Mytilus edulis: one gene and its partner. The main gene of each other region encodes a partner of the protein of the gene in region 2 in a complex. Links are inferred from orthologs where the notes say so. Each region holds a gene or a part of one and is shown on either strand. Other genes may lie near its edges. The genes, in order: nucleoporin NUP188-like and E3 SUMO-protein ligase RanBP2-like.

What was found.
Region 1: E3 SUMO-protein ligase RanBP2-like (region 2) and nucleoporin NUP188-like share a complex: the UniProt entries of both Homo sapiens proteins name them as parts of the nuclear pore complex. The link is inferred for Mytilus edulis from reciprocal best matches to the Homo sapiens genes RANBP2 and NUP188.

What each region holds. Positions count from the first base shown.
Region 1 is NC_092345.1:50,788,538-50,801,693, reverse strand, and holds the start of nucleoporin NUP188-like, read right to left. Parts: upstream 6,486-13,156; 5' UTR 6,447-6,485; coding exon 6,421-6,446; intron 1-6,420. Other genes in the region: uncharacterized protein, read right to left, coding at 11,331-11,428, 12,418-12,571. UniProt on the Homo sapiens protein: Component of the nuclear pore complex (NPC), a complex required for the trafficking across the nuclear envelope. Required for proper protein transport into the nucleus.
Region 2 is NC_092348.1:12,668,184-12,680,756, reverse strand, and holds the start of E3 SUMO-protein ligase RanBP2-like, read left to right. Parts: upstream 1-6,294; 5' UTR 6,295-6,359; coding exon 6,360-6,419; intron 6,420-9,545; coding exon 9,546-9,613; intron 9,614-10,978; coding exon 10,979-11,092; intron 11,093-12,058; coding exon 12,059-12,102; intron 12,103-12,573. UniProt on the Homo sapiens protein: E3 SUMO-protein ligase which facilitates SUMO1 and SUMO2 conjugation by UBE2I. Involved in transport factor (Ran-GTP, karyopherin)-mediated protein import via the F-G repeat-containing domain which acts as a docking site for substrates.

The DNA of each region.
Region 1 (13,156 bases), on a different chromosome or scaffold from region 2:
GTTTTCGTTAAATGTCGGATACATATCTTATAACTTTCTTATGTATTACATGATTGATCAAATGTCCCATCAATATACTTTACGACAATAAACAGTTTACATACAGTTAGTCGTCGTAATGCAATACACGCAGGTATAGTAAACTTCAAGCTAGTCCGGGGTCATGTCAGGTCACAGTCCGGACTCACTTGTTCAGGATTGTGTATTACATTGTTGAACGCCGCTTAAGTGTCGTTTATTGATTTTTCCGATGACAATCGAATAACTAAAGAAATAGAGAAATGAATAAAGGAAATGTAAAAAGCAAAAAGGGGAAAAAAATCTTTCAATTAAACAAATAATTTAGTATATTTATATACAATCCGTATACTCCTGGTCCGGGGTTATATCAGGTCACAGTCCGGACTCGCCTAATATTAATTTGTTGATTCTCGGGGAAACGTCTTTTATTAATGTTTCCGACGACAATCCAATAAGGGAAAAAGTTGAATGAATAAAAATGAATAAGTTCGTCTCATCAAATAATTTGTGAAGTTTTATATCTCTATCGATGTCTATAGTTTGCGAATACACCTAGTCCGGGGTTACTTCAGGTCACCATCCGGACTCGCCTATTACATTTAATGTTTTCGTTAAATGTCGGATACATATCTTATAACTTTCTTATGTATTACATGATTGATCAAATGTCCCATCAATATACTTTACGACAATAAACAGTTTACATACAGTTAGTCGTCGTAATGCAATACACGCAGGTATAGTAAACTTCAAGCTAGTCCGGGGTCATGTCAGGTCACAGTCCGGACTCACTTGTTCAGGATTGTGTATTACATTGTTGAACGCCGCTTAAGTGTCGTTTATTGATTTTTCCGATGACAATCGAATAACTAAAGAAATAGAGAAATGAATAAAGGAAATGTAAAAAGCAAAAAGGGGAAAAAAATCTTTCAATTAAACAAATAATTTAGTATATTTATATACAATCCGTATACTCCTGGTCCGGGGTTATATCAGGTCACAGTCCGGACTCGCCTAATATTAATTTGTTGATTCTCGGGGAAACGTCTTTTATTAATGTTTCCGACGACAATCCAATAAGGGAAAAAGTTGAATGAATAAAAATGAATAAGTTCGTCTCATCAAATAATTTGTGAAGTTTTATATCTCTATCGATGTCTATAGTTTGCGAATACACCTAGTCCGGGGTTACTTCAGGTCACCATCCGGACTCGCCTATTACATTTAATGTTTTCGTTAAATGTCGGATACATATCTTATAACTTTCTTATGTATTACATGATTGATCAAATGTCCCATCAATATACTTTACGACAATAAACAGTTTACATACAGTTAGTCGTCGTAATGCAATACACGCAGGTATAGTAAACTTCAAGCTAGTCCGGGGTCATGTCAGGTCACAGTCCGGACTCACTTGTTCAGGATTGTGTATTACATTGTTGAACGCCGCTTAGTGTCGTTTATTGATTTTTCCGATGACAATCGAATAACTAAAGAAATAGAGAAATGAATAAAGGAAATGTAAAAAGCAAAAAGGGGAAAAAAATCTTTCAATTAAACAAATAATTTAGTATATTTATATACAATCCGTATACTCCTGGTCCGGGGTTATATCAGGTCACAGTCCGGACTCGCCTAATATTAATTTGTTGATTCTCGGGGAAACGTCTTTTATTAATGTTTCCGACGACAATCCAATAAGGGAAAAAGTTGAATGAATAAAAATGAATAAGTTCGTCTCATCAAATAATTTGTGAAGTTTTATATCTCTATCGATGTCTATAGTTTGCGAATACACCTAGTCCGGGGTTACTTCAGGTCACCATCCGGACTCGCCTATTACATTTAATGTTTTCGTTAAATGTCGGATACATATCTTATAACTTTCTTATGTATTACATGATTGATCAAATGTCCCATCAATATACTTTACGACAATAAACAGTTTACATACAGTTAGTCGTCGTAATGCAATACACGCAGGTATAGTAAACTTCAAGCTAGTCCGGGGTCATGTCAGGTCACAGTCCGGACTCACTTGTTCAGGATTGTGTATTACATTGTTGAACGCCGCTTAGTGTCGTTTATTGATTTTTCCGATGACAATCGAATAACTAAAGAAATAGAGAAATGAATAAAGGAAATGTAAAAAGCAAAAAGGGGAAAAAAATCTTTCAATTAAACAAATAATTTAGTATATTTATATACAATCCGTATACTCCTGGTCCGGGGTTATATCAGGTCACAGTCCGGACTCGCCTAATATTAATTTGTTGATTCTCGGGGAAACGTCTTTTATTAATGTTTCCGACGACAATCCAATAAGGGAAAAAGTTGAATGAATAAAAATGAATAAGTTCGTCTCATCAAATAATTTGTGAAGTTTTATATCTCTATCGATGTCTATAGTTTGCGAATACACCTAGTCCGGGGTTACTTCAGGTCACCATCCGGACTCGCCTATTACATTTAATGTTTTCGTTAAATGTCGGATACATATCTTATAACTTTCTTATGTATTACATGATTGATCAAATGTCCCATCAATATACTTTACGACAATAAACAGTTTACATACAGTTAGTCGTCGTAATGCAATACACGCAGGTATAGTAAACTTCAAGCTAGTCCGGGGTCATGTCAGGTCACAGTCCGGACTCACTTGTTCAGGATTGTGTATTACATTGTTGAACGCCGCTTAAGTGTCGTTTATTGATTTTTCCGATGACAATCGAATAACTAAAGAAATAGAGAAATGAATAAAGGAAATGTAAAAAGCAAAAAGGGGAAAAAAATCTTTCAATTAAACAAATAATTTAGTATATTTATATACAATCCGTATACTCCTGGTCCGGGGTTATATCAGGTCACAGTCCGGACTCGCCTAATATTAATTTGTTGATTCTCGGGGAAACGTCTTTTATTAATGTTTCCGACGACAATCCAATAAGGGAAAAAGTTGAATGAATAAAAATGAATAAGTTCGTCTCATCAAATAATTTGTGAAGTTTTATATCTCTATCGATGTCTATAGTTTGCGAATACACCTAGTCCGGGGTTACTTCAGGTCACCATCCGGACTCGCCTATTACATTTAATGTTTTCGTTAAATGTCGGATACATATCTTATAACTTTCTTATGTATTACATGATTGATCAAATGTCCCATCAATATACTTTACGACAATAAACAGTTTACATACAGTTAGTCGTCGTAATGCAATACACGCAGGTATAGTAAACTTCAAGCTAGTCCGGGGTCATGTCAGGTCACAGTCCGGACTCACTTGTTCAGGATTGTGTATTACATTGTTGAACGCCGCTTAGTGTCGTTTATTGATTTTTCCGATGACAATCGAATAACTAAAGAAATAGAGAAATGAATAAAGGAAATGTAAAAAGCAAAAAGGGGAAAAAAATCTTTCAATTAAACAAATAATTTAGTATATTTATATACAATCCGTATACTCCTGGTCCGGGGTTATATCAGGTCACAGTCCGGACTCGCCTAATATTAATTTGTTGATTCTCGGGGAAACGTCTTTTATTAATGTTTCCGACGACAATCCAATAAGGGAAAAAGTTGAATGAATAAAAATGAATAAGTTCGTCTCATCAAATAATTTGTGAAGTTTTATATCTCTATCGATGTCTATAGTTTGCGAATACACCTAGTCCGGGGTTACTTCAGGTCACCATCCGGACTCGCCTATTAGATTTAATGTTTTCGTTAAATGTCGGATACATATCTTATAACTTTCTTATGTATTACATGATTGATCAAATGTCCCATCAATATACTTTACGACAATAAACAGTTTACATACAGTTAGTCGTCGTAATGCAATACACGCAGGTATAGTAAACTTCAAGCTAGTCCGGGGTCATGTCAGGTCACAGTCCGGACTCACTTGTTCAGGATTGTGTATTACATTGTTGAACGCCGCTTAAGTGTCGTTTATTGATTTTTCCGATGACAATCGAATAACTAAAGAAATAGAGAAATGAATAAAGGAAATGTAAAAAGCAAAAAGGGGAAAAAAATCTTTCAATTAAACAAATAATTTAGTATATTTATATACAATCCGTATACTCCTGGTCCGGGGTTATATCAGGTCACAGTCCGGACTCGCCTAATATTAATTTGTTGATTCTCGGGGAAACGTCTTTTATTAATGTTTCCGACGACAATCCAATAAGGGAAAAAGTTGAATGAATAAAAATGAATAAGTTCGTCTCATCAAATAATTTGTGAAGTTTTATATCTCTATCGATGTCTATAGTTTGCGAATACACCTAGTCCGGGGTTACTTCAGGTCACCATCCGGACTCGCCTATTACATTTAATGTTTTCGTTAAATGTCGGATACATATCTTATAACTTTCTTATGTATTACATGATTGATCAAATGTCCCATCAATATACTTTACGACAATAAACAGTTTACATACAGTTAGTCGTCGTAATGCAATACACGCAGGTATAGTAAACTTCAAGCTAGTCCGGGGTCATGTCAGGTCACAGTCCGGACTCACTTGTTCAGGATTGTGTATTACATTGTTGAACGCCGCTTAAGTGTCGTTTATTGATTTTTCCGATGACAATCGAATAACTAAAGAAATAGAGAAATGAATAAAGGAAATGTAAAAAGCAAAAAGGGGAAAAAAATCTTTCAATTAAACAAATAATTTAGTATATTTATATACAATCCGTATACTCCTGGTCCGGGGTTATATCAGGTCACAGTCCGGACTCGCCTAATATTAATTTGTTGATTCTCGGGGAAACGTCTTTTATTAATGTTTCCGACGACAATCCAATAAGGGAAAAAGTTGAATGAATAAAAATGAATAAGTTCGTCTCATCAAATAATTTGTGAAGTTTTATATCTCTATCGATGTCTATAGTTTGCGAATACACCTAGTCCGGGGTTACTTCAGGTCACCATCCGGACTCGCCTATTACATTTAATGTTTTCGTTAAATGTCGGATACATATCTTATAACTTTCTTATGTATTACATGATTGATCAAATGTCCCATCAATATACTTTACGACAATAAACAGTTTACATACAGTTAGTCGTCGTAATGCAATACACGCAGGTATAGTAAACTTCAAGCTAGTCCGGGGTCATGTCAGGTCACAGTCCGGACTCACTTGTTCAAGATTGTGTATTACATAGATGATCGATCGCTGCTTAAATTTTATTGGAGCAATTCCAACTTTGTATGATCATCCAATCAGGAGCCGCAGAAGATTTTATTCAGAGTACCATCTTGGGGTAAAAAATATCCCGGTTAACGTATACGGCCTTGTAAACTTTTGCCACTCATTATATATAACACAAGATTATTTCTGTATTTCTTACCAAAGGAATACTACGGATACGGAGATTACGTGAATATTTCATAAGCGATGTATCTTAGTTTATTTTGACAATGGCTGCTAAAATAAAATTATTTCTCTATATTGAACATTTTTATTTATTATTTCATTATATCTCGGAGCTACTGCCCCTTTAAATCTAACTTATATACATGCTTGATTATGCTTGATTATATATTATATGACAGTAATCTTTAAAAAAAAACCGAAGTGGTAAAAAAAACCACAGTCCGGGTCCGGCATTCAGTCCGGGTCCGGCGGCCAGTCCGGGTCCGGGTCCGGGTTTCATACCAAAGTCCGGGTCCGGAGTCCGGTCCGGTCCGGGTTTCAGTGCGTACCACAATACCTGCCAGGACATGTCACATATCCCCCCAAAATTTGGATCAAACTAGAATTTCAATGCCTTTGAGTAATACCTTTTTAGAAACTGTTTTCATAAATCTTCCTAATGATCAAATAAAAAATGGGTGTCTTTCTCCTCATTTTTTCGTAAAATCCAATCACAAAGTTCGTGCGATAAAAAGTTGGAAAAAAACATTACAATAATTGCCGGACCAATGTATGGTAGGGACATGCAAATACGGACTGTCATACAGAGAACAGCCTATATTACATACTCTTGATGTTCATATAAACCCAATACAAAGGCTATTTTAATACTCAGCTATCCAAAAATGAATTTTATTGCACACTAGCTCTAATATTTGAAAAATCCACAGGGGCCAAAATGCGAAACTACACACCTAACTGTGGAGTGCTACCTTATGTTATTTTTTGACTATTTGCGGACCATGGTCCGCAAAGTACGGTTCCGCAGCTAGGGTTACTGGAACCACACATATTATATTTTAATTTCTGCCTTCAAACCAGGGTCGAAAATGACGATATTATAAAACTGGAAGAAAAAGGACAAAAACTGTGACACTGAAATGACGAATTGGTTCAGGCAATTAAATGAGACCGATCAAAATAGTAATATATTATGGAAATAAGGGAAAATCTTCAACCTTTCAGATTTCAGCTGTCCCGCCATCACATTTCACATTTTGTTTTACCGGAAACACAATAAAGGTACATAAATGAAAATCAATTGACGGACCTTCAAATTTCCGAGGTAGTTTTTTTTTTTAAAGCCCATCCTCCTAAAAATGAATAATAGCACCTGCCAACTGTCACTATTTGAGGGGGATTTACTACCTTAATATAAGTGTTATATTTAGGTATATAGGAAAGAAATTTCCGAGACATGTGCCTGTGAACGGCGATTGAGAAAAACAAATCCGGGTTCAGACAAACTAAAACTGAGGGAAACACATCAATATATCATAAAGGTTTATAGGGGGAAAAAATTCTGAGACGAGTGCCTGTGATAGTTAAGCAAAGCATGCATATTGATATTGATATTCTAATTAACTTGAAGTTATAATATGCATTCATATTCTATAAGTTTTCAGACAAAAACTTAAATTTAACAACCTAAAAATAATGCTTTTAAAGTGTTACCGTCAAAACCAGTGTCTTACTGTTGTGTGTTGGTACATATTTAAATCTTACACATGAAATATCATTTCACTACAAACTTGAACTGTGTTTCATCTTTGTGTCTGACTATAGGGTGTGCAAATAATTCACACCAACTTTCTTTCCAGTTTTTCCCATACCGTTGTTCAGCAGCCTGTTTTGTTTGCATTTATGGTGACTTGAGTAACACCGGTATCACTCAGATTACAATTCTACATTGACAGGTAAGTTTGTATTTAGCCTATAAAATACTTATTTAGCCTTGAGAATTGAAAGGTAAGTTTATCCCATTCATACAATAGAAGTTGATACATTTGGCTTCAAATTTTCTGTCTTGTTTTCCTTCTGAAGATAAATGTCTCTGTTTTGTCAAGTCTTTGAATACATTTTCATTGATTTAATGATTATATTCAGTGTTGGATTTTGTCACAATAAGTTGTTGCTCATCTACAGTGGTACACAGTTGAAAATGACAAGTCTGCTCAAGAATGTAACATGATAAGGACATCGTCGTGCGAAAAGAAAGACCATCTGCATCGAGGAGGTAGTTGGGTATGGTTTTGCACCCGTCAAAAGGGCATGCTGTTTTTCAGGTTGTGCGTCCGTTCGCCCGTTCGTCCGTTCGTCTATCCCGCTTCAGTTTGAAGTTTTTGGCTGAGGTAGATCTTGATGAAGTTGAAGTCCAGTAAACTTGAAACTTAGTACACATGTTCTCTTAGTATGATAATACTAAATAGGAGTTCAGACCCCAAATTCACGTTCGACAGAGCACATAAAATGGCCTTGCAAATGAGGCATTCGTATTATATGGACACATTCTTGTTATGATATATCTTTATTTATTATTTGTTGTTTACCGAGACTAACACAATTGTGTTGCACCAGGCAACACTTATGATTAAACTACCTATATGGAAGTCTGGTACTAGGTTGGTATAAAAAAATTAATGAAACTAACATTTTTATATCTGTTTTGGTTTTTTTTTTAAATAAGGTAAAAAAAATATGCAAAACTCAAGAAAATTGAAATAATTGCGAAAATTATTTGGCGAACCAAACTGGTATTACATAGAGTGTATAACATTATACCTTTTACTTTTGCATCTTTATTGTATAATAATTCATCATGTCTTTTATAAAAGAGAAAGAAAAAAGAAAAGAGGGGAAGTCTCGTCTCCACTTTGCACATTTGTTTGCAATAGCAATCATTACAATGTAGGCACACACACACAGTATTCATTTACAATTTGCTTCTTTTGTACACATTTTTACTATAATTATAGTACTTAGTTAGAAAATGTAAGAAAATCTCATTAAATTGGCAAGTAGGTCATAGGTCAATGCCATAGATACCTACAATAATATTTTGACCTTTGATCTCAAAGTGAATAGGTTTTTTTTTAATACTTTCGTGCATGTTGGAACACGATCTGATTACCCTGTGACAAAATCTTTTGATATTTGCCATATGCGTGCAGCACCTCACGAAAATCTGTTGTGATCCATGGAAGATTAAACTGACTTTGACATTTATCCTTAAGGGTACATGTATATAAAAGTGGTTTATATGCAATGGCCACTTCAAAATCATATACTTTTAATTACAAAATATATTTTCGCTGTTTGACAATCCACACACATGCGAATAAAATGCTGCAAAAAATTATGCTTTTACAATTTATGATGTTTTTATTTTTGCTATCCCTACCTTGTTGCAACTTTGTCAATAATAACACAATTATACTACATCTTCTAATTTTTATTGTTTGTCATCGCAGTTTCTCCAAAACCTTTGGAAACAAAAGCACGGTTTATCTTTATCACTTTCTTTGTATAAAAGTCAGAATATGACAACAGAGAATTATTCCTATATGTCACAATGACTCTGATTCACTATAAAAAGTTAGTGTAGATGTGAAAATGGCACAAAGATAATTGTACATGTGATAGATACATGTAGCTGTGGAATTAACAATCTTATCAGATTCCCATTTTTTTATAAGATGAATAACTGGCATCACTAAACGTGAAAATTACTTAGTTTAATACAGTTTGAACATAACAATTAGTTTATCAAATCTATAAATTTAGACGAAACGCAAAATGACATACCACATTGATAGTTATAATAAGTTTAATTTTTTTTGGTGGACATATTTCTGAATAACATATATTTTGAAAAAATACAGCTTTTGACATTTTTTTTCCTTTTTACAATTCTTTTTTATAAATTGTTCCCATTTTCCAATACTGATTACGAGCTTCCTAAGCTGGAACAAGCATAAGAAAAGAACGCTGATGTCTCAGATCTATACCAATTCAAGTTCCTGTCCACTGTTTATGATACCCATCCACTCAGTAATAGTGGAGTAACACATTGAAAAATTGCTGATTATAAAGTACGACATAAATCGACTGGCAGACCTAGAAATATGAAACAGGTCCATATTGCATATATATAACGTATTGACCCCTCGTCCATTATTGATGGATATGCACGAATGTTACGCGAGTTTTCGTCAAGATTGGAAAGACTTTGATCAAATCATCTCCTCCTCAAATGTTATCAACTTGGACTGAAGAGTTGATAAGTTACGATACATGTTAATAACAAAAACGGTTCTCTACATTTGTATAGTACATCTACCAGGTCATATACATGTACTACTGGGTTTTGTTAATGTCCTTAAAATAGATATAGGAAGATGTGGTGTGAGTGCCAATGAGACAACTCTCCATACAAATAACAATTTAAAAAGTAAACCACTATAGGTTAAAGTACGGCCTTCAACACGGAGCTTTGGCTCACACCGAACAACAAGCTATAAAGGGCCCCAAAATTACTAGTGTAAAACCATTCAAACGGGAAAACCAACGGTCTAATCTATATAAACAAGACGAGAAACGAGAAACACGTATATATTACATAAACAAACGACAACTACTGTACATCAGATTCCTGACTTAGGACAGGTGCAAACATTTGCAGCGGGATTAAACGTTTTAATGGATCCAAACCTTCTCCCTTTTTCTGAAACAATAGCATAACATCACAACAAAGAAAAACATACGATAAAATATCAATTGGCAGACTTAACTCAATCAAAAAACGTATGATTAAACAATGAACGAATAAATTTGATCTGCGATATCTGAATACAAATGCACAGTTAATTAAATATTAGAGACAAACATTCATGACCAAAAAGCTAACAAACAAATTCAAACGCAGGACATGACTGAGAAATATTTAACCAATCAATGTTAACTTTAGAAAAAAAACGTTTTTTTTTATAATCTTGAAGTTTATACAAATGTTGTAAGAATAAGTGAAAAATTGAAGATAATACAAATAATCAAAGCTGGTGTACAGACAAGATCCATATAAATAAAAAATAACAAAAAAGCATTATAAACAGTATCAACAGGTCGAATTAACAAGAAAATACGATTTGAGAGTACTCGCAGTTACTGACAGCTAGTTAAAAGCCAAAACCAATTAATAATAAAAAATCATGCATCAGAGACTAAAATCGACTAAAACACATCACAGGGATTTAGTATTTTAACGTCATTAATAGTCAAAGAAGACATGACTTGTGCAATGCCAAAAATAAATGTATCGACAGGTAGTAGTATAGTGAAGAGCGACTTCTATAGAAATAAAAGTTAACGTGTCTGTGTCTCTATACATCTCGCCTCAAAAGATAATGAAATTTAGTTATGTTTTAATTTGCTAATGACAATATCAATATTAGTGCCAATGTGAACTATATTCAGAGATCTTATTACAATATTGGTACGATAACCCTTACTTATAAGTTTGTTTAAAGGTTCGATGAGTTTACAAGGATCACATAGTGATTTCCTCAATTTAAGTACAATATTACCATAAAATTTAGGATGTGAAATACCATTTTTAATAAGCTTTCTACAGGTATAGCCAAATTTACTAATCAAATCTTTGTATCTATGAAAGAATTTAGTAAAAGTTTTAAGTAATTTATGGTATCGAAATCCCTGACACAACAATTTACCAGTGATGCATTGATTACGTTCGTTAAAATCTATGACATCAGAACACACACGGGCAAACCGAACGAGTTGCGATATATAAACACCGTATGATGGAGCCAAAGGCACATCGCCGTCTAAAAAAGGAAAATTAACAATAGGAAATGAAAAATCGTCTCTTTTGTCGTAAATTTTAGTGTGAAGTTTCCCGTTTGAAATTGAAATGTCTAAATCTAGAAAAGGACAACTGCTGCTGTTTATGTTGTTTGGTTTTGCGTATAGTTTAATATTTTTATTAAAAACAAAAAGATATATAATAAAATAATGATTTAATTAGAAAATATAATACATAATTTAAACGATCACAAAATTAATAAGAAGTCTATAATATTTCTTCTCCTTTCTTCTGTTTCCGGAAACAAGCGAACAGCGAATTGATAAAATCTCTGATGGTTGATTTCTTTGCCTTTTTAAGTCCATCTGAAAAGAAATACAATGTACTACAAAAACATGTAAGTATGGTAGCCGGATGCGGCCATTTCGCCTTTTCGTATTTTCGCCATTTCTCCTCTTACTTTTCAAACGCGAAATCGGGAAATCGAGAAATCGAGAAAGCAAAATCGCGAAATCGAGAAATTGAGAAATCGGGAAATCGGGAAATAGAGAAAAAGGGAAATCGAGAAATAGGGAAACCGAGAAATCGGGAAAGCGAGAAATCGGGAAATCCAGAAATCGAGAAAGCTAAAACGAGAAAACACGAAAGCAAAGACGCGAAAACGCGAAAGGAATTTCTCGATTCCGCGTTTTCGCTTTCTTGAATTCCAGATTTCCCAATTTCTCGATTTCTTGATTTCTCGATTTCTCGATTTCCCGATTTCCCGATTTCCCGATTTCCCGATTTCCCGATTTTTCAATTTCTCGATTTCTCGTTTTCCCGATTTCGCGTTGGAAAAGTGAGAGGAGAACACGCGAAAACACAAAAAGGGGAAATGGCCGCATCCGGCCACCATATGTTAGGCCAAAACAACTGTATTTGTTACATCTATTATTTTTATTGTGAAATTTATATCATCCCTGTGATCTGTATACACAGGTGTGTTTATACTTCATGCTATTTACGAAAGATTAAGTTATTCAATTTTCTATTTAGGAGTAAGTTTCTATTCACTAAAGTTTCACAATATAGACCCTTGAACATGTAATTAGAGTACAAGAGTAGATTTTGAATGTATGGGGGTTTCGCGCACACGTACATGTTTACCACCGCTTTGTGTCTATCACAAACTATGAGCCTATGATCGTACCTTACTGTCTATTGTACATATAGATCGTTTTATCTTATTTTGTAGCATAAATCAGGTATTTTTGAATTGTCTAAAAAAACAAGGCCGTTTATAGTTTACTTAGGGTATACGTATATTAAGTTTTGCACATTGTTGAAGACTGACAGATATATACTTTTGTTATACCTTTTGTCTGTTTCTTTTTAAATTGGTTATCTTCCTTCTGTCTTCTTTTCTTATCAGCTTTAAATAATTTGTTTGTTCTTTTTTCCTTCTTCTTCTCCTCCTTTTCCCAAATTGTCCTCTCGTTTTTGTCGGGAATATCCAATTCAATGTCGTTCTGTGAAATTTTAATAAATGACATTTATCATAAGAAACTTCAGCAGACGGACGGTTGTAATCTTGCCTATATATAGATCATGAATTTTGGCTTATATGCTTTTATATTAATTTTATTTTTCAAAATGCATTTGTATCTGTTAAATTAAAATTCGTTTATAGATATTTATGTATCTATTATATAACTATAAAAATGAAATTTGTTTATCGTGTGTCTGATCAAAAATGATAGCCGTAGTCTTAGTTGTTTCATGCGGGTAGGAGACAAGACGTTTCAATCTGGCACTGTGTGAAATATAACTAGAGCCTACTATCAAGTCTGTATCTTTATAAGCTAGCTATAATTGTTTTTTGATATTATTGCATTCTAAAACAGTCGTTGGTTTCTTTTTTGAGTTGTTTGACCATGCGTTTTTTTTTTTAGTTTTAGCTTACTATATATATATAGGCCTACGGTTTTTGATTCTTTTCTTAATTGACGACCGTACAATGACCTGTATTTGTTTACATCATTGTTCTTTTGTCTCTATTGGATTGTATTTTTCATTGCAATCATACCACACCTCCTTGTTTTTATTATGATACG
Region 2 (12,573 bases):
CCGAAATCCCGAGCTTAAAAACACGAAATCCCGAAATCCCGGGCTTAAAAAACACGAAATCCCGAGGTCCCGAATTTCGATAAAAGAATTCCCGGATCCCGAAACTCGGAAAGGGTCAATCCCGAAATCCCGAGCTTAAAAACACCCGATCCCGGAGTCCCGGTAAAGGTCCTATCCCCCCTCATAAATAATGTCATCAAGCACAGAAATTAATAAGCACAATTAAAGCATATAAGCAAACATAAAATGCAGACAAACTAACATTCATGCAATAGCTATTATAAATCACTAAAAGTAATTCGAGCATTAAGAACACAAAAAAAAAAAAAAAAGAAATTATGCCAAATAATTTAAAAGCCAGTACTGTATACAAGATAAATAAATAAACTGATCTACAGCTCATTGAGATCTGCAGGAGGAACACTGACACGAACTGCCCTCCCAATTATACCAACCAAACTTTTAAACTGACCCAATGGCATTTCTTTCCTCATTTTATTTGGCAGTTAAATTTCAATAAGTTTTGCTGGTGCCGGTAAATAACCATTTCTATAGAAAAAGGCTATTTTGCCGTCTTGAATAAATATATTTTAATCAGAGTCGCCAAAATTGCCGTCAAAATAACCACAGTGCCAAAACAGAAAAATAATCATTGTCGAGTTTAAAAACCGCGGGAATTTGGGGTTGCACTAATGACAGGATGATTGCCCGGATAGTGACAGGACGGTTGACCGGACGACATATAAATAGTCATAACTTTTTTGTTATCCGATAGATTTGTTTAATATTTGCAAACCTGAAAGATATTAAACTATATTTTATGAATATAAAAAAAAAAGAGGAAAAATAATTATTTTTGAGCAAAAAAAGTTGACCGGACGGTATTCACACTCGCCAATATACGCTAAATATATATTCAACTGGTTGACGACAAGTGTTAATATCTCTTTTGTTTTACAATATTTGTCCATGAAACTCAGGAATCTGTGAGATTTATAAATATATTATACGAAAATATAAACTTGATTGCAAAAGAACGTGTTTTTCTAAAAAAAAAGTTGACCGGACGGTATTCACCCTCGCCGATATACGCTATATATATATTGAAATGGTCGACGACAAGTGTTAATATCTCTTTTGTTTTACAATAGTTGTCGATGAAACTCAAGAATCTGTGAGATTTATAAATATATTATACGAAAATATAAACTTGATTGCAAAAAAACGTGTTTTTCTCAAAAAAAAGTTGACCGGACGGTATTCACCCTCGCCGATATACGCTATATATATATTCAACTGGTTGACGACAAGTGTTAATATCTCTTTTGTTTTACAATATTTGTCGATGAAACTCAGGAATCTGTGAGATTTATAAATATGTTATACGAAAATATAAACTTGATTGCAAAAAAACGTGTTTTTCTCAAAAAAAAGTTGACCGGACGGTATTCACCCTCGCCGATATACGCTATATATATATTGAAATGGTCGACGACAAGTGTTAATATCTCTTTTGTTTTACAATATTTGTCCATGAAAATCAGGAACCTGTGAGATTGAATAGTATATTACACGAAAATATAAACTTTAAAGTAAAAAAGAAAAAAAATCTGCAAAAAAAGTTGACCGGACGGTATTCACCCTCGCCGATGTACGCGTTGACAAAAAATGTAAATATTTTTTTTGTAAACAATATTTTTTCATAAAACTGAGATATGTGCGAGATAAATAAATATATGATATGAAAATATAAACTCTATGATAAAAAAAATATTTTTCTTAAAAAAAAAGTTGACCGGACAGCTAACATTCGCCGATATATGTTAATAATAATAAATTGGTTATTTTTTTTACCATATCTGTCCCTGAAATTTATGAACATTGGAAATGAATAAATATATTATACGAAAAATTAATACAAATTAGACAGTTGAACGGTGTTCATCACAGAGCCAGTCCCCTAAAACATTGGAACAACTCTGGTGAACCCACTTGCTGCAAGTGACACGTCCTCGTTTGCCTTCACATCCAAACATATTTTCCAATATATCAGGCTTACCACAAACACAGCTACATTCAATTTTTCTTGTGTGCATCTTGACTGAGTCAGCACAAGAATTTAGTGATTGAGGGAATTTAGAAAAGTATCCCAGTTCAAGGCATTTAATCAAATGCTCTCTCATACCAGTTGGTTCAAAAGCTGTTTTGTTTTTGAAGTTGGAAGTACCTCCATTAAAGCAAAATTCAAGCAAATTTGCTATGGAGTAAACCCCACAATCATAACCATTTGGCTGACGTTGCACTTCTGGGAGTTTAATTGAAATGTGCCTCTGACCATAAATGCCTTGTGTTGTTCAATAAACGACACTTGACCATTATCAACAGTCAACTTGGCCAGGGATTTTTGGGACAAGTTTTTATCTGAAGTTTTAATGGACATGGAGGAGCTTTCTGTCCCCTCTGAACTATCAGATACTAATGGTAATATATTTGTCCCCTCTATTTGGGAAGGCGCTGTGACATTTTCTTCAGCAATGGGACTAGACATGGTGGGGTTTTCTGTCCCATCTGAAGTCTCAGATACTAATGGCAATATATTTGCACCCTCTATTTTGGAAGACTCTGTCTCTACTGAGACATGATCCTTAGAGCATGTGTCTCGAACATTATCTATTTCTGACATAACATGCTTTACAATGTCAGCAGGTTTAACCAACTGCTTTGGAACATTGATTTCATCTTTTGGTATAGAAGCATGGTTAAATTTGGTTCTTAATGTATAGTTACCAATGCCAGCCAGACCCCTTTGCACCTCATTGATATAGTAATTCTGCAAGTAAAACATGCTAAGCACGAAGCAGTCAACTGGCAACTCTCTATATTTATTAAGCCTTTTTATAACTGCATTCATGCTTTCACATGCATTATTGGTAATGCCAGAATATGGATCATAAAGGTTTTGGTATTTATCAATTACCCATTTGCCACTGTGAGTAAGAATGTCCTTTTCCATCTTTTCAAAGTATACTACTACCGGTTTTGACCACTTTCTGATTAATTCATCTTTTAATGTCATATACTCTGCTTCAGAGTCAGACCTTAGGAGGTCTTTCAAATGTGAAACATACAGGGCTGTGTTTGACTGATCAGCGCCCATTTGCTGAAGATTAAATTTTAAATTTTTTATTAAATGATTCCAGCACATAAGAACATCACAAGATGGGAAGTTCTTTCTGATTGCATTTACAAGACCAATCTCCCTATCAGTTACGAAAGGGACTGAGGTTTTGTTTATTTTTGGAAATGACGATGCAACGAATTCAAAGAAACGTGCATGTGTCTTCTCCTTCTTTCTACTATGTATCAAGAAAGCTACAGGCATTATAGGTCTATCTTCAAAAATTATATTTCTGAAAACTAGGGGTGAAACAAAGAAGTCTCCACACTTAAAAGTGGTATCATAGAAGAAAACAAAAGGAACATCATCTTCAGTGTTAACATCAAGTAACTGGTTAACGATAGAAATCATTTCTGGCAAAGCAATGATTGAACTCAAATCAGGGAAAACTGTCACCTCATGGATGAATCCATCCATATGATATGCCAATAGCAAAAGGTTATATATATCATCTTTGCTCAGTCTTTCTTCCTCATTGACTTTCCTTACTAGGTTTTCAACTTGTTTCACATTTCTAGCATTTAGCACCCCTTGGTGTTCACCAGAAACTGAACCATTTGATATGCTTTCTCTGTAAACATCCATGGCAGTTTTTTCACCTGACCTTATGTCTTGCTCTATTTTTCTTAATACAGAAGGAGCAGTGCGTGTATACTCAGGGGGATCTGACTTTTTGCTGTTCCCATGGCCAACGGGTACATATACCGTCTCATCTCCCTCATAATGCACAAGTATTAAGCTTTTGTTACTTTTCAAACTATATGCAGTTTTCTTAAACTGTAAAGAACCAACTGGTCTTTTTCTACCGTTTGTTTTGTCTGTTGTTCCTGGTAATCGGATTTTGTAAAAATGTTTTTTAAGAACATCATTACCAATGGTGACTGATTTTGTACCATTATTTATCCACAGATATTGGTCACATTTCCAATCATCTGCACCAGTTTGAAACAAGTAAACTTCGTTTGCCTTTGGCTTATAAGGGGGAACATTCGATGTACAAGATGTTTCAGGTTTAGTTAAAATATCTACTATTTCTGTTTGATGTAATACATCTGTATGCATATAGACAATAGACCCACTGTCCATTTTGATATTTTGTCTACTGGTAAGTTGTACTAATATGATGGCTATACAACTGTCTTTAAAAAGACATGCCTTTAAATAAAGCAATATATAGTAGCACTAATATCAATCTGTTTACTTTTGTATTTATAAATATATGTTTGACAACTGTCTTTAAAAAGACATGCTTTTGAATAAAGCAATATATATAGTAACACAACTATCAATCTATCTATATCAATAGTTCAATAATGAATATATATTGAAAATTGTCTTTAAAAAGACATGCAAAAAGCAAAATATAGTAGAAATATAATTTGTGTGATCTGAACTGGTTGAAAGTCAGAGCATAAATGACTGAACAATTGAATAGTTATTATTAGGTGAGTTAAATGTTAATCTGAAATCCTGAACTTCATAAAATTTCTTCTTTAATTGGATACTAATTACCAACTGATTATAAGGTAATTCAATTAAATGTATTTGATGTCTCAGGTGTGAAAACTTTAATGACATGTTATTTGGCTTGATTGGTGATTACAACAAGTGTCAAAATTAGATTAATTTGATTAAATATCATTACTTCTAATATGCATTGGTGAACTCGCTCACATAAACATTTTGGGCTCATTGTTTTTACTTTAAAGTTTATTTTTCTTGTAAAATATTTATCTAATCTCACAAATTATTTCATTTCATGGACAGATATATTATAAAAATGAAGAGATATTAAAACTTGTGTTGATCAGTTCAATATATTTAAATAATAATATCGTCGAATGTTAATTCCCTCAGATCAACTTTTTTTTTTAAGAACAACATTTAACATATTTGATATAAGGTTTATATTTTCATATTAAGTACTTATTGATCTCTCAGATTTCATAAATTTGATAAAATAAAAGAGATATAAACACTTGGGTCTACCAACTTATATTAAGGCATATAACGGCGAATGTTTGTTCCGTCCGGTCATCTTTTTTTGAAGAAAAACATTTTTATTTACTATAAAGTTTATATTTTAATATCAAGTATTTATTGATCTGGTAGATTTCTTAGTTTCGTGTAAAAATATTGTAAAACAAATAAGATATTGACACTTATTTGTATCAGTTCAATATAATTAACGCGTACATCGGCGAATGTGAACACCGTCCGGTCAACTTTTTTTGGAGACAAACTTTTTTTTTCACTATAAAGTTTATATTGTCGTATCCAATATTTATTATTCTCACAGATTCCTGAATTTCATGATAAAATATTGTAAAACAAAAGAGATATCAACACTTGTCGTCGACCAGTTGAAAATATATATAGCGTATATCGGCTAGGGTGAATACCGTCCGGTCAACTTTTTTTGCAGATTTGTTTTCTTTTTTACCCTAAAGTTTATATTTTCGTGTAATATATTATTCAATCTCACAGATTCTTGAGTTTCATCGACAACTATTGTAAAACAAAAGAGATATTAACACTTGTCGTCGACCATTTCAATATATATATAGCGTATATCGGCGAGGGTGAATACCGTCCGGTCAACTTTTTTTTGAGAAAAACACGTTTTTTTGCAATCAAGTTTATATTTTCGTATAACATATTTATAAATCTCACAGATTCCTGAGTTTCATCGACAAATATTGTAAAACAAAAGAGATATTAACACTTGTCGTCAACCAGTTGAATATATATTTAGCGTATATTGGCGAGTGTGAATACCGTCCGGTCAACTTTTTTTGCTCAAAAATAATTATTTTTCCTCTTTTTTTTTATATTCATAAAATATAGTTTAATATCTTTCAGGTTTACAAATATTAAACAAATCTATCGGATAACAAAAAAGTTATGACTATATATATGTCGTCCGGTCAACCGTCCTGTCACTATCCGGGCAATCGTCCTGTCATTAGTGGTTCCCGGGAATTTGATCGAGTGTATTTGGGTTTATGGGACTTGATGAAGAAAATATCCGATACTATACGAAGTAAGCGGCAAACTTAAAAATATTACACCGAATTTGATTGGTCCGATTGAGGTGGTAGTTGTAAAATGTAATCTTATTGGTTCATATTTTAAAGTTTTTTGTAATCCGCCGGCATGAACGAAAGTGAATGAATGAAAAATGTCAAGACGCAATAGAAAAGACGTCGATAGATATGTATCTCATATCCCTGAAAAAGAGGTAATACTTCAGAATGTTCAATCACAAAAATAATTTCTCTGGACGAAGTTTAAAGTAATATTTGAAAGTGAAAGTGGCTTCTGTCATGACATGAGTTCTGAGAAAAAAGGGGGAGAGATAGGACAATGTGTTCTGTACAATAGTCAATAATGATACCAAGCAAGAAGTTAATAAATACAGATTGAAATAATGAATTGTGTTAATGTTCTGTTGAAGTCAATTCTCCAATATTTATAATGGCAAGAAATGGTTGGCGTTGATATTGCCAATAAATCAGGTTGGAACCAGAAGACCAAACGGGGTAACTTAAAATATTCTGAATGCTATGTAAATAATAGTCCAAATAATTATGAAAGGCTTTTATGCTTCTTTTCTTTGACACCGTACATCAACGTCTTAACGCCGAACTCATATTTTCAGTTGGACTTTAAGAGGGGTAACACTAATGATAGCATCGTCAGGAGACCAAAGGAGGTACACAAAAGAGTTCTTCAAGAACGATAACTATATAACAAATTTGGCCTTGAACCGTTTACGATACCACGTGTTTTACTTTCCACAGGGAATATTTTGACCGATCACTAAACTGAGGTAGGCAAGCGATACTTTCTCAAAATTACACTTTTGTAACAATCTTTAAGCATAATATGAACGATTTAAATATGTTTTGTAACAAACAAAAGTGTCAAAGTGTTGTTATTAAGGTTTACTTTTTGTTAAAATGAATCAACGGTGACGTTGTTGAATTATATAGGCAAATTAATTTGTTTATCGTCTCTCCCTTCAAAAACCTTTTAAAGACATGTACTAAATGATGATCTAAGACATTTCATATCAATTAATTTTAAGTAAAATGTGTAATTATCTCTAAATGAATCTTTTTCAAAAAGATGTCGATAGTTGTCTCCCTTGACATTATAGTCCATTATTTTTTTTTTTGGTTATGTGTAAATGGCTGAAATATATTTGATATAATAACAACTCACCTTATTAATGTAATCAGTTAATATATTAGTATGAAAGCATAATTGAAGATATTTGAATAGACTAGTGTGTGTAACTAGCTTTGTTTAAAAAGGGGGGTGGATATATTAGGTGACTCCATCGGTTGTAATGTGTAGTATGGGGTCAAATACTGATTCAACCACACATGTATTCAGTGAACTTCAATACACATCATGTCAATATAAATCTGTTTTTTTAAATAACGACAGTGTTTATTTAATCAAAAGTAACAGCTGTCGATTGATCCTCGTTAAAAGAGGGGGGTGTACATGTTTGTGTAAAAAATAAATTGTTACAATAACAATAATAATAGTACATGATGTAAATATTAATGAATGAATAGATTTATTGTGATTTATTGTGAGCGAAATCTACACAAGAATGGACCAGAACTGCAATTGTTATCTCCCTTGAATAAGCTTGTTGTTTCAATCATACTAATAATTATTTAACCTAATATTTAATTATGATAAATTACACAACAATTAATAAAAAGTAGTATTTACAATTAGGTTCAAGAAAATATTTATCAACATTTGGTTATTTTTTGTCTTTTTTGAAATATATAAATTTTTGACTCACCAATTTTTGGAACATTTGATGTTTTTATATAGAGTTAAGATTTTTAAACACTACACTACTGCGAAAACTAAAGGCTCTATAGTAACCTACAGTTGTTTATCAAGAGAAAAAAAAGTAACCTACAGTTGTGAATGAATATAGCTGTGACATTGTGGGGTCTGGTGTATATATCACCGTGGCAATAATACCACATCTTGTATTTTATATATTCCGGTTGAAGTCAAGCATGGCTAATCTGTCACTATTGTTGATATTTATAGTATTATCGTATTTGCAACACTCTCATGTGTAGTCAATGTTGTAAAAAAAAAATACAATATTATTTTTACTTATTCATTAATCCATAAATTCCACACAGCTCTCATTCGTTTATAAGTATATAATTGGAGATCTGGCTTATATTAAATAACAAAACCGTTTCAACTAAACAGTATTAAGGAACAGACCTCTATAATGAAAGAAAAAATGTATGTGATTGCATTTTTTAATTCATGGTTTCAATATTTATTGAGCAATTTATCATAGCACCTTCAACAATGGGGAAAATCCATACTCCATAGTAATTGAAATGCCTTTAATTGATACTTATAAAATGATTTATAAGAATGAAGAAAAGAATAAACCTGATTTATGTACAAAATAATAAATAAAAAGCAGAAGTGATATACAACAAGAAACGGCGCTTCCTTATTTACATTCTTTTTTATAATACAAGGTGCATTATAACATAATAGATCAAAGAAGATGTGGTATAAGTGCAAATGAGACAAATCTCTGTCAAAGTCACAATTTATAAAAGTAAACCATTATAGGTCAAGGTAAGTTCTTCATCACAGTCTTGGCTCACACCGAACAATTAGTTATAAACATGATAAAGGGTATTGAAATAGATATATTCTACCAGTATTTAAAAAAAGAGAAACGCCAACACATCAACAAGCGACAACTTCAGAACATAAGAGTCATGACTTCGGACATGTGTATCATGAAAAAAGTCAGTTGGGTTTCAATCATGTGATAAAATGTAGATACATATTTTTCAAATATAAAAAAAACGCAATTAAGATTGTAAAAATCATATTTTAATATTTGTTCAATATATATTTAAAACAATCAATATATATAATGTTATCAATAAAATGTTACTTTAACTTTGCAGAACTAATTTGAAGAAACAGACTATAAAAGCAAAGTGTCAATCATTCAATGATTTGAACAAAAACAAATTAGAGTTACCTCTCTTGGCTAAAACACTTTGAATGGAAAGTCCCTTTGATATCAAATTTTTGGAAAGGGGAATTTAATAGTTTCAAGAGACAACCAATCAAATTGCTTGGTGTTTTGAGACAGGTGAAGGTCATACATTATTGAATATTTAGAAAAAATACATGGAAAGTAAACTTTAATTTTTTTCCTGACATAGCTACTAATGACCTATATCGCCGTGATTATCTGACTGTTTTTACTGTATTATAATTGATATAACATTTAATTTATATTAACAGATTTGTATACAATGTACCATTCATTTTCTTTCAGAAAACTTCCCGAGGATACCAGATATCTGTGTTATACAATGAAGCTGGTGACTATGAAACTGCTAAAAGGTATTGACTTCACATCATGACCATGAGGACATGTATAATGTACATGTATATCTACTTTTTATGCCCCACCTACAATAGTAGAGGGGCATTATGTTTTCTGGTCTGTGCGTCCGTCCTTCCGTCCCTTCGTTCAGGTTAAAGTTTTTGGTCAAGGTAGCTTTTGATGAAGTTGAAGTCCAATCAACTTCAAACTTAGTACACATGTTCCCTATGATATGATCTTTCTAATTTAATTGCCAAATTAGACTTTTGACTCCAATTTCACGGTCCACTGAACATAGAAAATAATAGTGCAAGTTTCAGGTTAAAGTTTTTGGTCAAGGTAGTTTTTGATGAAGTTGAAGTCCAATCAACTTCAAACTTAGTACACATGTACATGTTCCCTATGATATGATCTTTCTAATTTAATTGCAAAATTAGAGTTTTGACCCCAATTTCACGGTCTACTGAACATAGAAAATGATAATGCGAGTGGGGCATCCGTGTACTATGGACACATTCTTGTTTTTTAATGTTTTACAGCCGATTCCATCGAGTATGTAGGCAAAGGTAGTATATTTGGTTAGCTTGCTTGCTAGCTGAACAGTGAAATCATTATTAGGAAAGGTAAACTCCCCTCTTTTCAGAGTAATCTAGTCAGACAGATAACAAATCTATCTGTTTGTAGGACAATGCTATTTTGACAGGAGGGTAGTATACCTTACATAATAATGACTTCACAGTTCAGCTAGCAATCAAGCTAACAAAAGATATTACCTTTGCCTTCACACTCAATGAAATTAGCTGTAATGAAACATGTTTTGATTCTGTGCATAGGTAATCCTATAGATAAAATTAACAATTACCCTGTGTCACAGAACTTATTTATGTCAATATTTAATTTAGGAAAATATTGAGATCTCAGGAGTGAGGAGGCTTAGATATGTTGAATAATTCATTGTGGATAAGAGAAGCTAATCTGAAATGAGGAACTCTAATGAAAAATGACAAATGAGCAATATTTGTGGAACGTTTATAAGTTATCAAGTCAACATTTAATTATGTAAACATGGTAAATCGCACTTGAAGCAAGTCATTTTTCAAATGTTCTTTTCCTTTGAAATCTGAAAAATACTTTGTAAACTCAGTCAAATTAATTCCTGAGTTCATCACTTTATTTGTCATGATGGCTGGAGTCGTAAGCAATTTGTTAGTTTGTGAAAAGAAATTTGAATCCTTTCTTTCTCATTTTCATAAAGATGAATAATAGATGTATCTGAAAAGCTTTATTGTAAATTTTGAATACATTGTATTATTTTATTTTTGACATGGTTATCTGTACAATATAAAGATTGTCTTTTAATTGCATTGATTTTGGACTTTTAGATACCTAGCATCTTACATCAGTACCAGAGAGAATGTACCCCAGGCTCATAAGTTAATGGGACAGATTTTAGAATCCAGCAAAAACAAAGAAGATGCCATTGAAAGTTACAAGAGGTATGTTTATAGACATATATATGTTATCAAAATACAAATTTGTTTATAATCTAGTGACATTGTATACATATGTTTTACATACAGAAGCAAATTTATAAACCAGTAAAAAATCCAGCTGATAAAATGTTAAATAATTTAGTTTACATGCAAGATATAAAAACTGGTGATAGATAAAGTTTGGATCAGGTTAATATTTGTCAAGTGGAATGAACGGAATTTTTATCAACATGTTTTTTTTTTACCAAAGAATAAGAGGACCATTGCAAACTAAAACAGATTCACTGTAACATTAAGCTCAGAGTTCGCGAAAATGGTCAGTCCTGTCGGTCTTATCAGTCAAAATGAGGCTCGGACCAGTATATTGAAAGCTAGTGTCGGTCCCCATGACCGATGTAAAAACGGCCGTTGCAGTGCCTTTTTTATCGGTAATTAGTTGTACCGCAACTAATTCCAATATGTGCCGTTTACATCGGTCTTCAGATGTACCTGCTGCTAATTTCCGGTACTGGTTTCCTGTTATAAACAAACTGAAACCTATGGAAACCAAAGTGCCGATCTACACATGGCCTGCTAAATTTGTTCATGGCAAACAATCGGCGATTGAAATCTTAGATGGAGATAACAAATACCGAGAAAATGATTCAGTTGATGAAATAGATAGAGAAATGACTTTAATTAAGAACAATCAGAAGATCAGAACTGGTCCTTCATTATTAATTTGTCCGTGGCTGTGAAAAATAAAACTAATAATAATAAAGTTACTTTTGGATAAAATATGTTATTATTTTTATTTTAGGATCAAATTGACACGATTTTTTTAGGACTGGCTAAAATTTTGTAGGACTGACAAATAATCTTGCTTTGTCGGTCCCATGACCGACAGGTCAAACAAAGTTTTTGCGAACTCTGTAAGCTGTAGAAATTTGTCAACATTCACATTATCAAAGTTTATATTTTCTTTTTCAGGTCATTCCAACTCGATAGTAAGCAAAAAGATTTACTTTTGAAAAGTAAGTACAAAGTGTTATTAAATAAGTAATGAAATTTCATGGTTTGTGATGATAAGGCCAAATAAAAATATATGTGTGGTTCCAGTAACCCTACCATCCCTACTTTTTCGGCTTAAAAATAGCCTACCCTAAAGATTTTATTGTCATTTTTCATAAAGCACTGTTAAAGTCAGAATGTTGCGCCCATAGACTCGATGTAAAAAAAAAAACATAAAATAAAAATAAATCCCTACCTACCTACAGTACGCCCAGAGAGTATGTAATCGCGAACTCTAATCACCGATTTCCAAGTGTAGCGGTGTGACACCGCGAATCACGGATTATACTCCCAATTTCCTCCAAAGATTCTCTCCCAACACCGCGTGGCTGTTTATTAGTTTATTGCCCATCGGATGTACTGAAAATTAATGACGCGTGACAACATCATCGGATTAGCCAGATTTATTACCTTTGTACATTTAATCGATCTTG